2 linked regions of the Arabidopsis thaliana genome follow. The protein of the gene in region 2 interacts with the protein of the main gene of each other region in a pairwise test. Each region holds a gene or a part of one and is shown on either strand. Other genes may lie near its edges.

Region 1 (5,827 bases), 4.3 Mb from region 2:
GTAGTATCTTCTTAATGAAACGTAAAGATAATATATTTAAATAAATGAATCTTTTTATTTTCTGATATCCAGCTGATTCTGTGGCCCAAGAAACCCAATCCATTATCCATGGCGTGAAGACATATGTAGCTGTCGTAAAAGAATAAACAAAGACCAATTAAAAAAGAGCCAATTAACAACCAAATTACATAAAATTTATTAAAACTAATCTATTAATCACACGTCTTGTTCTGCCGTCAGAATGTAATTACCGTCCGTCTTTTAGGAAACAAAGAACAAAACAAACGGCGGGCCCACCGCCGTTAGAATCTCTCTCGGTTAGCCGACGCGGCCACCATTCTCTCTCTCTCTTCATCCATTCTCCACGCGTCGCGTTGACCACGTGGCACTATACATCTTTAAAACTCTTTCTATTTTATTTAAATAGCGAGTGCGTTGTGGGCCATCTTTGTTTTTCTTTGGCGGAGGGGCGGCTAAATAGCCTTTTGTTTTTATTTTAGTTTTATTCCGCGAAAGAAAAAGCAGTCAAACTCCAAGTTGAATTTGGAGCTGAGTCTACGAAGTCACGCATAACGCTCTTTCTTTCACGCGATCGCCGTCGGCACGTGTTTGGCGGTGAGATTCACGCTCGTACATGGAAACGCGGTTCCCAAGCCGCGCGTCCTCAAGGTGTTGCCACGTATTTTACATTTTTGCGTCATCCAATACTGTTCTTTGGTTTCTTCTTCTCTCTTCTTTTCAGGCGCCGCTGCTTAACTTATTTCCTAGTTTTTGAAGTTACTCTTGTCTTTAACTCACACTGCCATATAGTATGACTTTATTTACCTGTATTTTCAAATTTTTACACACATAACAGTATCTTTAGTTGTTTATTGGTCTTACAAAAAATTGGGTATTTTTTAAACCAAAAGTTTTGAGATACGAAAACAAAATTGATATGATCTGAAAAATTAGTTACTCACATATTTGTTCAAGTTTTTTTCTCAATTATGCAAGCATTAAGGTTGATCCAACAGGTTATGAGAAAACAAACTGAGTTCATTACAAGTGTACTCACTAGAGCAAGCTTGTGTAGTTATATCCTAAATCATGAGGGTAAATGGCACATGACAATTCGTAGTTAGATTAACTATATATATTAAATTAAGATGTGGGATTACATTCTTAATTCCCTCGGTTATGAAAATCAAAATCTTATCACCAGCATTCAAGGGAATACGCTGTGTAGACAAAACAGCAAACAACATGCATCTCCATTAAATGCGTCAAATACTGTACGGATTTCTTTAGTTTTTTTGTTACAAATTGTATCAAAAGTTTGTTAGTACATTGTACATACAGATAACAAATGAATTTCACTTTTTAGATAAAATAGTTTACACAAAAAAAAAAAAAAAAGACTTTGCATCCAATATTTTCCACCACAAAATAAATCATTCAAAATACGGATTGATTAAATATGTATCATAGTAAGATCTATATTTCAAAATTTATCCTTATTTCATTAAGAACTTTAATGCAAAGATTACATAGTCCAATTAATTTTCTCATTGCCAAATATTAATAATTAAATTAAAGATCCAGTGATAAAAAGTTTTATTTTAAAATTAAAGTCAATCAAATTAATGTATTTAATTTGTATCTATATTTTTGACAATGTATTCAACTTTTTAAATACATCAATAAATTCATTAATAAGATGATCAACAAAAATTGAAAACGCTTGGTGAGGTTAAAAAAGAAATGAAGGGTTGATAAGAAAAACAAAATTCTTTGAAAGAGGAAAGAAAAACACGTGGCAAAAGATAAGTGGAGGTAAAAAAGAAAACCATGAAAACCGCTGGTGTTTTGTAAGAGAAGCCGCTAAAACCATTTCAGGCTTTGACTGTTCACAACAAAGCGCCCCAAAAGGAGCGTCGCTTTTACTCTCTCTCCCATCCTATATATAAACAACTCTCTCCTTTCCTCTTCTCCCTTCAATTATCTATCACACCACCACTCTCTCTCTAATCTATCTATCCGAGAATGGCCAAGATGGGCTTGAAACCCGACCCGGCTACTACTAACCAGACCCACAATAATGCCAAGGAGATTCGTTACAGAGGCGTTAGGAAGCGTCCTTGGGGCCGTTATGCCGCCGAGATCCGAGATCCGGGCAAGAAAACCCGCGTCTGGCTTGGCACTTTCGATACGGCTGAAGAGGCGGCGCGTGCTTACGATACGGCGGCGCGTGATTTTCGTGGTGCTAAGGCTAAGACCAATTTCCCAACTTTTCTCGAGCTGAGTGACCAGAAGGTCCCTACCGGTTTCGCGCGTAGCCCTAGCCAGAGCAGCACGCTCGACTGTGCTTCTCCTCCGACGTTAGTTGTGCCTTCAGCGACGGCTGGGAATGTTCCCCCGCAGCTCGAGCTTAGTCTCGGCGGAGGAGGCGGCGGCTCGTGTTATCAGATCCCGATGTCGCGTCCTGTCTACTTTTTGGACCTGATGGGGATCGGTAACGTAGGTCGTGGTCAGCCTCCTCCTGTGACATCGGCGTTTAGATCGCCGGTGGTGCATGTTGCGACGAAGATGGCTTGTGGTGCCCAAAGCGACTCTGATTCGTCATCGGTCGTTGATTTCGAAGGTGGGATGGAGAAGAGATCTCAGCTGTTAGATCTAGATCTTAATTTGCCTCCTCCATCGGAACAGGCCTGAGCTTTTAACGGTGTCGTTTCAATTCGAAGCGCATGCGTTTCTTCTTCTTTTTGAGCTGTGAAAATTCGTTTTCTCATAGTTTTTCCTCTCTCTCTCTCTCAGTCTAAATTTATTACCAGTTTTTAGAAAGAAAAAACAGATTAAATCTGAGAGAGAAAAATATAATTTTAGCTGACATGGATCGTTATGTACATATTATTACATAACCGGAGATCTGAACTTTTGTTGTGTGCTTTTAATTTTTTGCGACTTGGTTTCACCCCATGTTGTTTCTCTATTTTTTTTACTACTTTTTTTTTTTTTGTTCTTCCAAATTTTCAATCAATAATTTGGTAATCTTCAGAATTATCTTGTCCAATCCAATTTCCGAAATTTTGATTATTACTACTTGTGGGTTGTGGCGGCTCCTTCTATTGGCTTTCCTTTTCTATCGTTACCACCAAATTAAAAAAATTGAAGGGACTAAAATTACTTATTTGACAAAACAAAATAATTGTAAGTTGAAGTATAAGAAAAACTAAAATTCAAAGTGAGATTAATAAAATGGTAGTTGAGTATCGTCGGCTTTTAACAATGGTCCAAGTTTCCAGCAGACACGCAGCCGGCGTGTGTGGGCCCTCGTTTTGCTCTCTGCGGCGTAAGTTAGAAAATTCTTTGCGCTTACGTCACTTAGTAGTAGGGTCCACTCACAGAGTACGGACATACTCATTTCTTTTCTTTCTAGCTAACTTGGAAGAGTCTTGAAGCTGAGAGTTAACACTCTTTAGGTCTGACAGAGAGAACCTAGATTTTTAATTTGATAGATTCTTAAATTTGGAAAAGAAACTGCCACAAAACAAAGATAAGATTTTGTTCAATTTTTTTTAAGAAAGATCTCTAGTTTCGTAAACAAATTTTTGTCGGCAAAAAATGGAAAAAGAGTACACAAAGTCTCTAAAGAAACAACTATGACTAGTCTAGATATTGGTTTTTTTTATCTGAAAGCTTTTAGAATATATAGCTTATAGTGCAAAATTAATTTTCTTTAAACTATGACATTGAATTGATTCGGAGTTGAATTGGACTAAACCAACATCATTTGACCCGTTAAGCTAACAATAGTGTTATTTATAGATATTCTTTTGGCCAATTATTTCTAGATGGCTGGTCTTTTTGAATTTTATTTCGTTGTTTTAAATTTGTGCGGAAAGTAAATTTAACTTGCGAAATTTTTTATTGAATGATGGCGTGATGTGTTGAAAATGTAAATATAGGTACAAAACAATGATGTTAAAAGTTTGAAAGAAAACGACGACGTATAAGAGGGTGTGAAATAGAAAGCGGCTTCATAATGAGAGGCAGAGAAGAGAGGTTTTTGATTGGATTCTTGTCTCCAACTCCGCAATCAGAAAGAGTCAATAACTATCCTTTCGTGATTCTCGTGTAGATCCAACGGCTAGATTCTATTCTTATCCACGTGTCTGGATCATACACTTTCATGTTTATTAACTACGCAAAAAAAAAAAAAGAGTGAAGCGGCACCGACGGCCAAGCAGCGCGAGTCATCATCATCCTTTTCAGAAGAGACCGAATCAGAGACGGTGGCGCCCACATTCCCATTTTTTTTAATAATATATTTATGAGAATAAGACTTTTTAGTAGTATTATTTCAAAGTCTTTGTCCTCTCAAAGAGAGTATTTATAGCGAGTAAATTATGTTTACAAATATATATATATATCTAGAAATAAAGAATGTTTTTACGCATCTTTTATCGTATTCAAATAATTTCACTCAGACAGAATAGTTGAGGTATATTTTAGAAGTTAATTTGATAAGTTAAACTCCTGTTTTTAAAAGAGAGACAATTTTGCAGAGGAAAACATTGTATGCCCGTAACAGTTCATGAAGATAAAATCACTTAAAATAAAAAAATTAATATTTACTTTTCCTATTGGTAGTTATCCAAGTAGAAGTCCACCAATTATAATTGACCTAATATGCCTTAAAAATCCGGTTCGATTGACTCTGTTAACATATTTCTTAAGTGAAAACCGGAATTTTTACAGAAGATGTGTGTGGTTGAGCATATGGCGCGTGTGAAAGTGGCATGGGATGTAAATTCCGTGTTGACGAGGTTTATGTCGGGATATTGGGTTGTCTTCACGTGCATCTCCACCGTCCGATAAAGTTTGATTCTCACTGTCTTTCTTTTCATTTCATTGATTTATTATATATTTACTAGCCTTATTTGTTTACGTGAAGGACTCCGTAAATTGAGGTAATTTCATTTTGGCCCCTCATCTCATCATCTTGTCCCAAAGAAACCCCACCTCCCACAATTTTTCAATACCAGAAACTTTAGACAATAAGATTAATTTTTACATTAAAAAAAATAAAAAGAAGAAGAATATGCAGAGAAATAGGCATACTAATTATACACATGGATGATGGGTCATGTGTAGAATTAATAAAATACAGGTTAGTTGCAGATATGGATATCAGGATCACATCTTAATTAAAAATATATTAGCATTATAATATTCGAGTGGGAATAATAATTCATTTTAAATCTTAACCAAAAATAAAATACTGAGAGACACGTGTGAAACAAGATTAGCTGCGGCGGCCGCTTTTTCTTGGTGGAACCCACACGCTTCATACTAAGGTCATCCAGAATCTCAATCCCAACCAACCAGATTTTTTCCCTCCTTTTTCTTCTCACCCGATTCGAAGTCGGCTACATAATGTATCTATATTGCTTATTTATCTCATTTCTTTTGGTCTTTTACATAGAGAACCCTATCATTTATTAATCTCAACAAAAGTATCCCAATCATCCATTTTTATGGCACACTGCATTAAAAGCTCACAGGAAATTAACTACAGATCCATTACGCACCGCTTCAATATTAGTTTCAAAAGTAACATCATTCACCGGCATTTCATTAATTGGAGAAGATATTTTTCTCCTTGAGTAAATTTATTACTCGAGTACAACACGCATAAACAAATTCAATAAGATGGTTTTTGTATTAGATCAGTTTTCAATCGAATTTTCTTTTAACTATAAATAATGATTAGTAACATTTATCAATCCTAAGTTTCTAAGACTACGAGAGCTTCATAAAATTTTGCACTAACAAAAATTGAATT
Region 2 (8,928 bases):
CTTGGTTTCTCAAGATCTTTCCAAAACCTTGGAATCTCATCTAACGGTCCAGATTTCTCCTCCCGATCAAGATCTACTACTTCCAAGAACCTCAACGTTACTCGAGCTTTCTTCTGGAATTGGGGCAAGAAGACCGAAAACTCCAGACCAAGTAAGTTTAATAGTTTATAGATCCTTTTGTCTTTTAGTACACTGCGACTAAGTCAACGCCTGTTAATCCGATATTTTTCCTAGATTTGAGACAAATCAAGATTTAAAGACTAATAATCCTTTTTGTTAGCTCAGAAATCAAAATGCTTTATTTCATAAGCAAAATCGATTAGATCTTTAAATGCCCTGCTCAAAATTGATTGGTCTAAAAAATAATCAGATCTTAAAAAAACAAAGTACCGAATTCATAAATTCGAGTTTTAATTATTCAGGTAAGATCCAAGAACTAAACGTGTATGAGCTCAACGAAGGAGATAGAAACAGTCCAGCAGTTCTTAAACTCGGCAAGAAACCAACAGAGCTTTGTCTCGGAGATCTCGTCCCATTCACAAACAAACTCTACACCGGCGATCTCAAGAAACGCGTGGGAATCACGGCAGGTCTCTGCGTTTTGATCCAACACGTTCCTGAAAAGAGCGGTGACAGATTCGAAGCTAGTTACAGCTTCTACTTTGGTGACTATGGTCACTTGTCTGTACAAGGACAATACTTGACTTATGAAGACACGTTCCTCGCTGTCACTGGTGGCTCTGGAATCTTTGAAGGTGCGTACGGACAGGTTAAGCTTCGTCAGCTTGTGTATCCGACAAAACTGTTCTACACTTTTTACCTTAAAGGGTTAGCTAATGATTTACCGCTGGAGCTTACTGGAACGGCGGTTACGCCGTCGAAGGATGTGAAACCGGCACCGGAAGCTAAGGCGATGGAGCCTAGTGGAGTTATAAGTAACTTTACTAATTAAGTAATTAGCTGTTTAATAGTTGTTTTGTTTTGTAATAGAATATTTTGATGAGTTGTGTGAGGTTAGTTAATGATGTGTTGAGGGAATAAAGTATTTATTTTGATGTGACTTTATTGATTACAACTGGTCTTTCTACAACGTGGAACTGTTGTACTCGATTTCAAAGTAAAACTTTTTACATTAGTTTCGGTATTTTCACGGAATAAATTGATAGCTAGAACCTTTAATCTTATGGTTTAAAATGGTACACTCATATACACAGTTAGGGTAGTGGAGTTAATGCTAGTAATTAGTAACACAATATTTTTTGGTTCGTTATGGTTTTGGTGTTAATTGTGTTAATGTCATAATGCTTTAACGCTAATTTGTTGTTGGCACAGATATTTAAAACTAAAAAAAGCAACCTAGTTATTGCTGGCTATCTTTTTAAATTGAGAAGTTAACATCTTGTCAAGTGAATCGTGTAATATTGTTATACTCTAAAGATCGATATTATTGTGTCTACCAGTCAAAACATGTGTTGGAGGGAAATTTTATTTGTAGGTTCATCATATGTCAGGAACATTATTGTCATGTTTCTGTAAGCTTTCTGACATTTAAGTTCAGATTTTGACCATAAGTTTTGATCATAAATGAGAAAAGAACAAAGTTAAGTTTAGTTTTGCGAATGTTAAAAAAAATAAATATCTTATTTGCACTTTTTGAATTATTTACCAAATATAAAAACCAAGATGGTGTTTTTTTTGTAATACCAAAAAAGAGAGAATTTTAGCTACGAGAGAATGCAAAATTCGGATTTGTGATCCGTTTTATTGAAAAAGATTTTAGTTTCATAGAACATATATCAAGTAGTATACAAATTGAAAAATAGGGTCTGATAGATCCGAGACACTTGGGTATTATCACCTAACTTTTAAACGTTTATGCCAGTTTTTTGACAAACAAATCACGAAGTATTTGAGGATAAATACAGTATTTGTTTATGTTTTCTATCTTTTTTTAGGAGGATGAGTTCATTGGTTTGATCTTAAACAATTGAAAATTTATAGGTTACCACCAATTTTGCGATTTTTTTTCTTCTTCTATACTTTAGATTTAAGTTTATATATAGATATTTTCGTTTGATATCAATATGGGAAGCCCACAAAGTTGGGGAGTTTAGTGGTACCTTTTTTTTTGGTTCACAATTGCATACGAATATTGGGGAGTTTAGTGGTACTATTGCATACGAATATTGGAGATACGAGAAAGGGGTGGAAAAAATTGATGATAAATTGAGCCCAAGTAGGAAACAATACACAAGGCCGTATATAAAGTTGGCATGTTGGGTTCAATACATGAGGCCGTCTTTTTGTTCGGCCGCGGCCAGTGGTGAACACTGAATATGGCCTTTTGAGACTCCGAGGGGACAATTATAATCCAACACTAAAATACATCTCTAAACTCTATTTGCCAACTAATTTCTTTATTTAAAATACGTTTCAATCTAATCAAAACAGATAAGCCTGTTAAACACAATTTTGATTTCTCGAGACTACGAATAGGTGGATCTATTTGTATCATAACATCATAACATATAAATCGATATTTAAAATTTTGAGTAATAAATTTGATGTTGGTCTCTAACAATTTGCGGGTAATTTCTTGATATTTTGGACATCACCCGAACATATTAGCTCATTACACACCAATTTCTATAGAGGCAACATATTTTCTTATCATTAAAGTTGACAGCTATTAGAGCCCTTAATCACGTTTGATTTCATATCTAATTCCAAATTATATGGATATAACAACAGCATAGCATATAAATTGATATGTGTAGCATTAGGTTATATCTTTGACCGGGAAATGCATTGGCAGGCCATTATACTGGGAAGATGCATTCGCATATATATTAGTAGGTGTACTTAGTAATCGTCTACTTGACATAATTAAAATTACCGGTCAAAAACACGAGATATATAGGAACTCATATTGTGTGGATATATATATTAGTTTACATGTGTATTTATGGATAAGGTTATAACGAATTCAACAAATTCTCAAGGTCCTATGAAATTTCAACAAGTATATTACAGTTTTTTTTTTATATATGGCTTTTCTTCTCCCATGTTTCGGCTGTCTACGAAGAGACATTTGGCTTTTCATATTGGGATATTGAAAAATACATTTTCAACGTTTTATATATGATTTTGTGTGGGTGAAATTAATACTTACAGAACAAAAGAGCTCATGCACGTTTAGTGTTATTTTGGCGGCTGTTTTTAAGGATTTGCATATATTCTTTCCCACGTATTGAATTCTATAAATGACATAATAATCAAACTTGTAAAAATAATAGAATGAATAGTTTATAGTCTTCCAAAATTCGATTTCTGTTGTAGTGGAATCGCAGACATTTTCTAACTTATGAATGTTGTTATAGGACTTCTTTAAACCTTGGTTGGATATACCCAAATAAATATAAAGTTCACACGAAAAAAACTTGGAATCACATCCAGGAATATTCACCACTGGATCAATACTACTATACAACAAGGGAAAAAAAAATATTTAACTTGGGAAGGTATATACTTATTTTATAAACAAAAGCAAGATTCGCCTTGTAATGCGACGGCCCGACTTCTCTCTTTCAAATAATGATCCTTGAGAAACCCTATAGAGCCATATATACGTTGTCTTTATAAAGAGACATAACTCATCTCTTCTTGACTAACTTTATAGTTAAAGTTATCAATTATTCGAAAACAAAGCTGGTTTTTTGTTTTGTCCCTTAAACCAGCATGATCAAGAACTTAAGTAATATGAAGAATGACAATCAGAAACGTGAAAAATGTTGCGAGTACATCGAAGCTCTCGAAGAAGAACGTCGCAAGATCAATGTTTTCCAACGCGAGCTTCCTCTTTGCGTAGAGCTCGTGACTCAAGGTACATACATATGCATTTACATTTCATATAAGATATAATGAGTTTATATATATGGATTAAATGTTAGATCTAAAGATTTTTAAAAAATGTTTTATGGAATTTAGCGATTGAGGCGTATAAGAGGGAGATATCAGGGACGTCGACGGATAACTTATACGGACAGTCGGAGTGCTCAGAGCAGACCACCGGAGAATGTGGGCGCATCTTGGATCTGTTCATACCAATCAAACACTCTTCGACCTCCATAGAAGAAGAGGTTGATGACAAAGATGATGATGATGAAGAACACCAGTCTCATGAAACCGACATAGATTTTGATGACAAGAACATGAAATCTGAATGGCTCAAGTCTGTTCAGCTCTGGAACCAATCCGACGCAGTTGTTTCTAATAATAGACAGGTAAGATTTTTATTTTATTTTATTTTTTCTTTGTTTACATTTGTGTTTTTGTTTGCCTTGAATTACATTTACTGTATTGTTTCCAAACCAGCCTATTGACGTTGTTAATTGTTAACGTAAAGACTAAACGCATAACCTTCTGTGTACTTTATGCGATTGTGTTTGTAACTTACAACTTCACAAATAGATTATTCTTTTTTCTTCCAGTTTTTGTTTTTTTTAATAGACCGAAAAAGGATGGGTGCACAAAAAGATAGTAAATTGCTCACAAAAAGATTTTGTTTTGTAATTTAAGTTTCTAATAGCATTTTGCGTATTCAGGATCGCTCACAAGAAAAGACAGAGACGCTGGTAGAGTTGATAAAAATAAACGATGAAGCAGCGAAGAAAAACAACAACATAAAATCACCGGTGACTACTAGCGATGGTGGCAGTGGCGGTGGCGGTGGCAGAAGAGGGCAGAGAAAGAATAGGCGGTGTTGGTCGCAAGAGTTACACAGACGCTTCTTGAACGCTCTTAAACAACTTGGTGGCCCTCATGGTGCGTTTCTTGGTTTTAAGTTAAAACATATATATCAGTAGTCATATCTTTTTGTTAGGGCTCATGAAGTTTAATTAATTCGTAATGACCTTTTTGTTCACTAAATTTTGAAGTAGCTACGCCGAAACAGATAAGAGATATAATGAAGGTTGATGGGTTAACAAATGATGAAGTCAAAAGTCATTTACAGGTTAGTAAATCATATTCCATGAAAAATACATGTAACTAATATGTAAAAGGTATATATTAATTTCATCATTTTAGTTACAAATGTTTTTATAATTTAGAAGGAAAATAATATTTATTGTTTCATATTTTTTTTAATGATAAATAGAAATATAGGCTGCATGCAAGACGGCCAAGCCAAACAACACCGAACAACAGAAACTCTCAAACGCAACATTTCGTGGTGGTTGGTGGAATATGGGTCCCACAGACTAACCATTCAACGGCCAACGCAGTCAACGCCGTCGCATCGGGTGAGACCACCGGGATTTATGGGCCTATGGTCAGTTCGTTGCCGTCCGAGTGGCCGAGGCATTCCAATTTTGGTAGGAAGATTTCGGAAGATAGATCAAGATGCTCTAACAACGGATTTTTTCGGTGTAGCTCACCAGCTATGTCTTGTTCTACTCGTACAAAGACGAAAGATGCAAAAATAATATCATAAATTTAATTTTTGATTATTTATTAAGAGAAAAAAGTTATAGACATTAATATTGTGAAGAGTGTATATATATAGATGTTGGAGCGTGACTCTATGTTATTTTTAGTTTCTTGGTTTTTTTCTATTAGCCGATGATATCTTTGATCAAAGATCCATATTAGCTAATGCATACTATATTTTTTTACGTCGTGCAATATGCATATCGATGATAATAAGTTAATAACACAAAATTATTAGATTACTAGTTGAAGAATCGTATATAGAAAGAATCGTAATTATATGTAGAATGATGGTATATTATCAGCATATATTTTTATAGAGGCTTTAGCCACCAAAATTAATAAATGTCAGTCACAAACTCAAATTAATTAATTTCGTCCTTAACATATGTATGTCGGCCAGGTTTCTATTTGCTATAGTAATATAAGATACACAGAAACATTGTAGAAATGTAAAATGTCTTCGAAAACAGAAGAAAAATACATATATAAACTTTTTTGAATGAAAATAAAAAAAATTATGCCATACAGAAGGATCGGAACTCGGTAGAATATGCCGGAATCTGAAGAGCATAATCTGCAAATATGTTTTTCAGGTTAAACTTTATTCTCTTGTTGCTTGTACTGGATATTAACACAAATGTGCACGTTGGGCTCCTTCTCGTGGAGTGAATTATTCTTTATTTGTTCCTTTTACTTTTGTAAATACAATTTTTCCATATAAGTATATAACTGTGTAAATATTAAACCCAAAATATGTTAAAAGACAAGTTTTTTTGTAACTTAAGGGCAAGAAACAAGGTGTAAAGCCACATGAAAATTGCTGACCATTCTAACTCTCGACACTACTATACAATTAATATCTCTTGACTTGTACTCATTCTCTATAACAACAACAATTGTTGGGTTTTCTTGTTCGCTCTCACTGTTGTTTATTAAGTGTTGTTCGTTTGCGAGGTTTTCTGAATCAATAATCAAAATGATTTCGATTGATAAGTTATCCTTTAATCAAAATTTCTTGGTTCCTATGGTTTCATCACCTCAAACATAAAAAAATCATACCAAGTTGTTAAATATCTTTAAAAATTCCTACCAAGTTACTAAATAAGTGTTCACAAATTTAGGGATCCTTTCATGTGACTCTATGAGCCATGTGACCTATTTTTCTACTACCTTTATAACAAATGGGGCTACAGTTTTAATAATATTCTTACTGATAATTTAATTTGAATACGAAGACCATTGGGAAACTTGAACATTGAGAAAGGCTATTGGAGTTCCCGAGATGGCGGTTTGATCTATTTCAAATCTTCAATAATATTACTATTATCAAATACTTCTTTGATTCTATAGATGTGTAAGTATTAATAATTTAATATTTGACGATGGATCCAAAAGAACAGGAATCGGATTAGGGTTTCCTTATGATATGATTTATTAATAGATTGGAATGGGTTTTAAACTCTTAGAAGCAGGATCTTTATGTGACCTTTCAGAGTCATAAAAAGCCTAAATAGCTCTTGATACTTACTTTAAGACCATTATGAGATCAAACCATGGAAAAATAAACAAATAGTAAAGCAACAAATGCTTTTTCTTGGTCTATACTTCATTACTTCTCATATTAACTAATATCATATCCATAAGGAATATTCGACTACACCTATTATTAATTGTATAATGTTAGTTCATAATTTATCTACATTTGTGCATAAACAATTAAACATATCTCTGATTAACAATAATAAAATATATAGTACGTGCTAATCTTGTTTTAATCTTCTCTTATATAAGATTAGGATTGATCAACCAAGTTTGACATGGTGTCTTAGTCTTATAGGAGTGAAATTTTTAATCAACCTTCCAAGGATTCTTTCGTCTATCCACGATGACGAATAGGTTGAAATGGAAACAGATTTCTTTCAGTTCTATACGTGTTTGATTTTATTTTTCTTTTAATAATACAAAATAATTATCAATGAAACTATTTAAATAGTCTCAGAGCTATAAATGTAATAAAGTAACAATGTTTACTAATTTTCTAATAGCAACATGATGTTTCATTATGTTCTTTAATTATTTCTGCAAAACAAGTATCAATTTGGGATTCAGCTAACGTTGAGTGCTAGCTGCTCTTCACATTTGCACACAATTTTGGGCTAATGAGCCCGAAAAGTTTACGAAGATGGACCAAGCCCGTTTATAGCCCCCGAGGTTAAAATTCCGAAAGGTTAATTCCCAAAAACTTAAAGGTTTTGACGATCTAAATTTTGATTTTAATGAACGGAAATAGTAAATGACCTGAAATAGAAAAAAATCAACTAGATAATCTACAATTTAAAGATTTGCAGAAAATCTTGGACGATAAAACAAGATACTAACATTTCTCACAGAATAATTTTGCTATAATAATTTAAAGTTCAGCTGCTATATTTTTTTTCCTTTGTTAATTTCATCTGCTATTTATTTGACCAAATTAAATATGTTATCTTGATTTGTTATCGTACGTCTACATAGTCTCTAATTTTAAAAAACAATTGCCGTAATTTTAGTTTTTATTTAATTGAAATTTTATTTACACATGTAACAAATAAAAAAAATGATTGAAAAGAATAATGTATATTATTTTAAAGTCATAACTAGTAACATGTAAAAAAGTAGTTATACATCACTATTTTAGGCAGTCAATGGTAATGAAAAAAAAAGAGCTTATTTTCTAGACCTGCATTGTTTATATTAATTTATACATAGTTGAAAATGAGATTCAAACTATGCTTTCAATAAATAGGTGAAGGATCGAGGTCGAGGCACCATCGATATAGAGTCAGCTCGTCCTTCACCACGGCAATTTCATGCCAACATCTTGCTCAAATGAGTATTCCATGGAGAGTGATTGGTAACCTGCAAAAGAAAAAGAAACTTAAAAAGGTTTATATGTATAAGGTTCACGTCAGTGTTTGAGTGACTTAAAAAAGTTTGTGTTAGTTATAAAACTAATATCTCATGGACTGACGTAAAGTTAATTAACTCTACGTAATTGTTGTTAATATCCTTCCCATTTTTCAATCTTACCTCATTTATACAAGTGTTGTTAATTAAGTGACCGGCGGTTTTTTTTTTTTTGTATATATGAGCATGCAAAATTACTAACTCTTACTACTAAACAAAATCTCTTTACTGTATATATGAGCATGCAAAATTAGTCATTATATTTTATTGTTAGTGAAACCTAAATAAACCAGAACCAGTGATAGTAAGTTAATCAATATAATCTGAAGGTGCGAAACATCAGCACGAACCCAAATTCGAGTTTTACGTATTGCGGACGTTAAAGATAATGAACTGATTTATCAAAAAAAGAAGAAGAAAGATAATGAAGTGAAAAACAAATTATAAAATAGAGTGAATTTTTTGTCCAAAAAAAAAAGAGTAAAATTA

Evidence for each region. Proteins that work in one complex are often made in the same cells at the same time.
Region 1: the proteins of AT3G25790 (region 2) and ERF4 interact in binary tests that used the Arabidopsis thaliana proteins (3 or more experiments, as listed by UniProt).

Annotation. Positions count from the first base shown.
Region 1 is NC_003074.8:5,119,447-5,125,273, forward strand, and holds ERF4 (ethylene responsive element binding factor 4), read left to right. Parts: upstream 1-1,975; 5' UTR 1,976-2,025; coding exon 2,026-2,694; 3' UTR 2,695-3,116; downstream 3,117-5,827.
Region 2 is NC_003074.8:9,409,458-9,418,385, forward strand, and holds AT3G25790 (myb-like transcription factor family protein), read left to right. Parts: upstream 1-3,594; 5' UTR 3,595-3,738; coding exon 3,739-3,883; intron 3,884-3,987; coding exon 3,988-4,283; intron 4,284-4,604; coding exon 4,605-4,824; intron 4,825-4,937; coding exon 4,938-5,014; coding exon of another isoform or gene 5,015-5,053; exon of another isoform or gene 5,054-5,158; coding exon 5,159-5,494; 3' UTR 5,495-5,783; downstream 5,784-8,928. Other genes in the region: AOC3 (allene oxide cyclase 3), read left to right, coding at 1-151, 423-952. UniProt on the Arabidopsis thaliana protein: Probable factor involved in nitrate and phosphate signaling in roots. Integrates nitrate and phosphate starvation responses and adaptation of root architecture, depending on nutrient availabilities.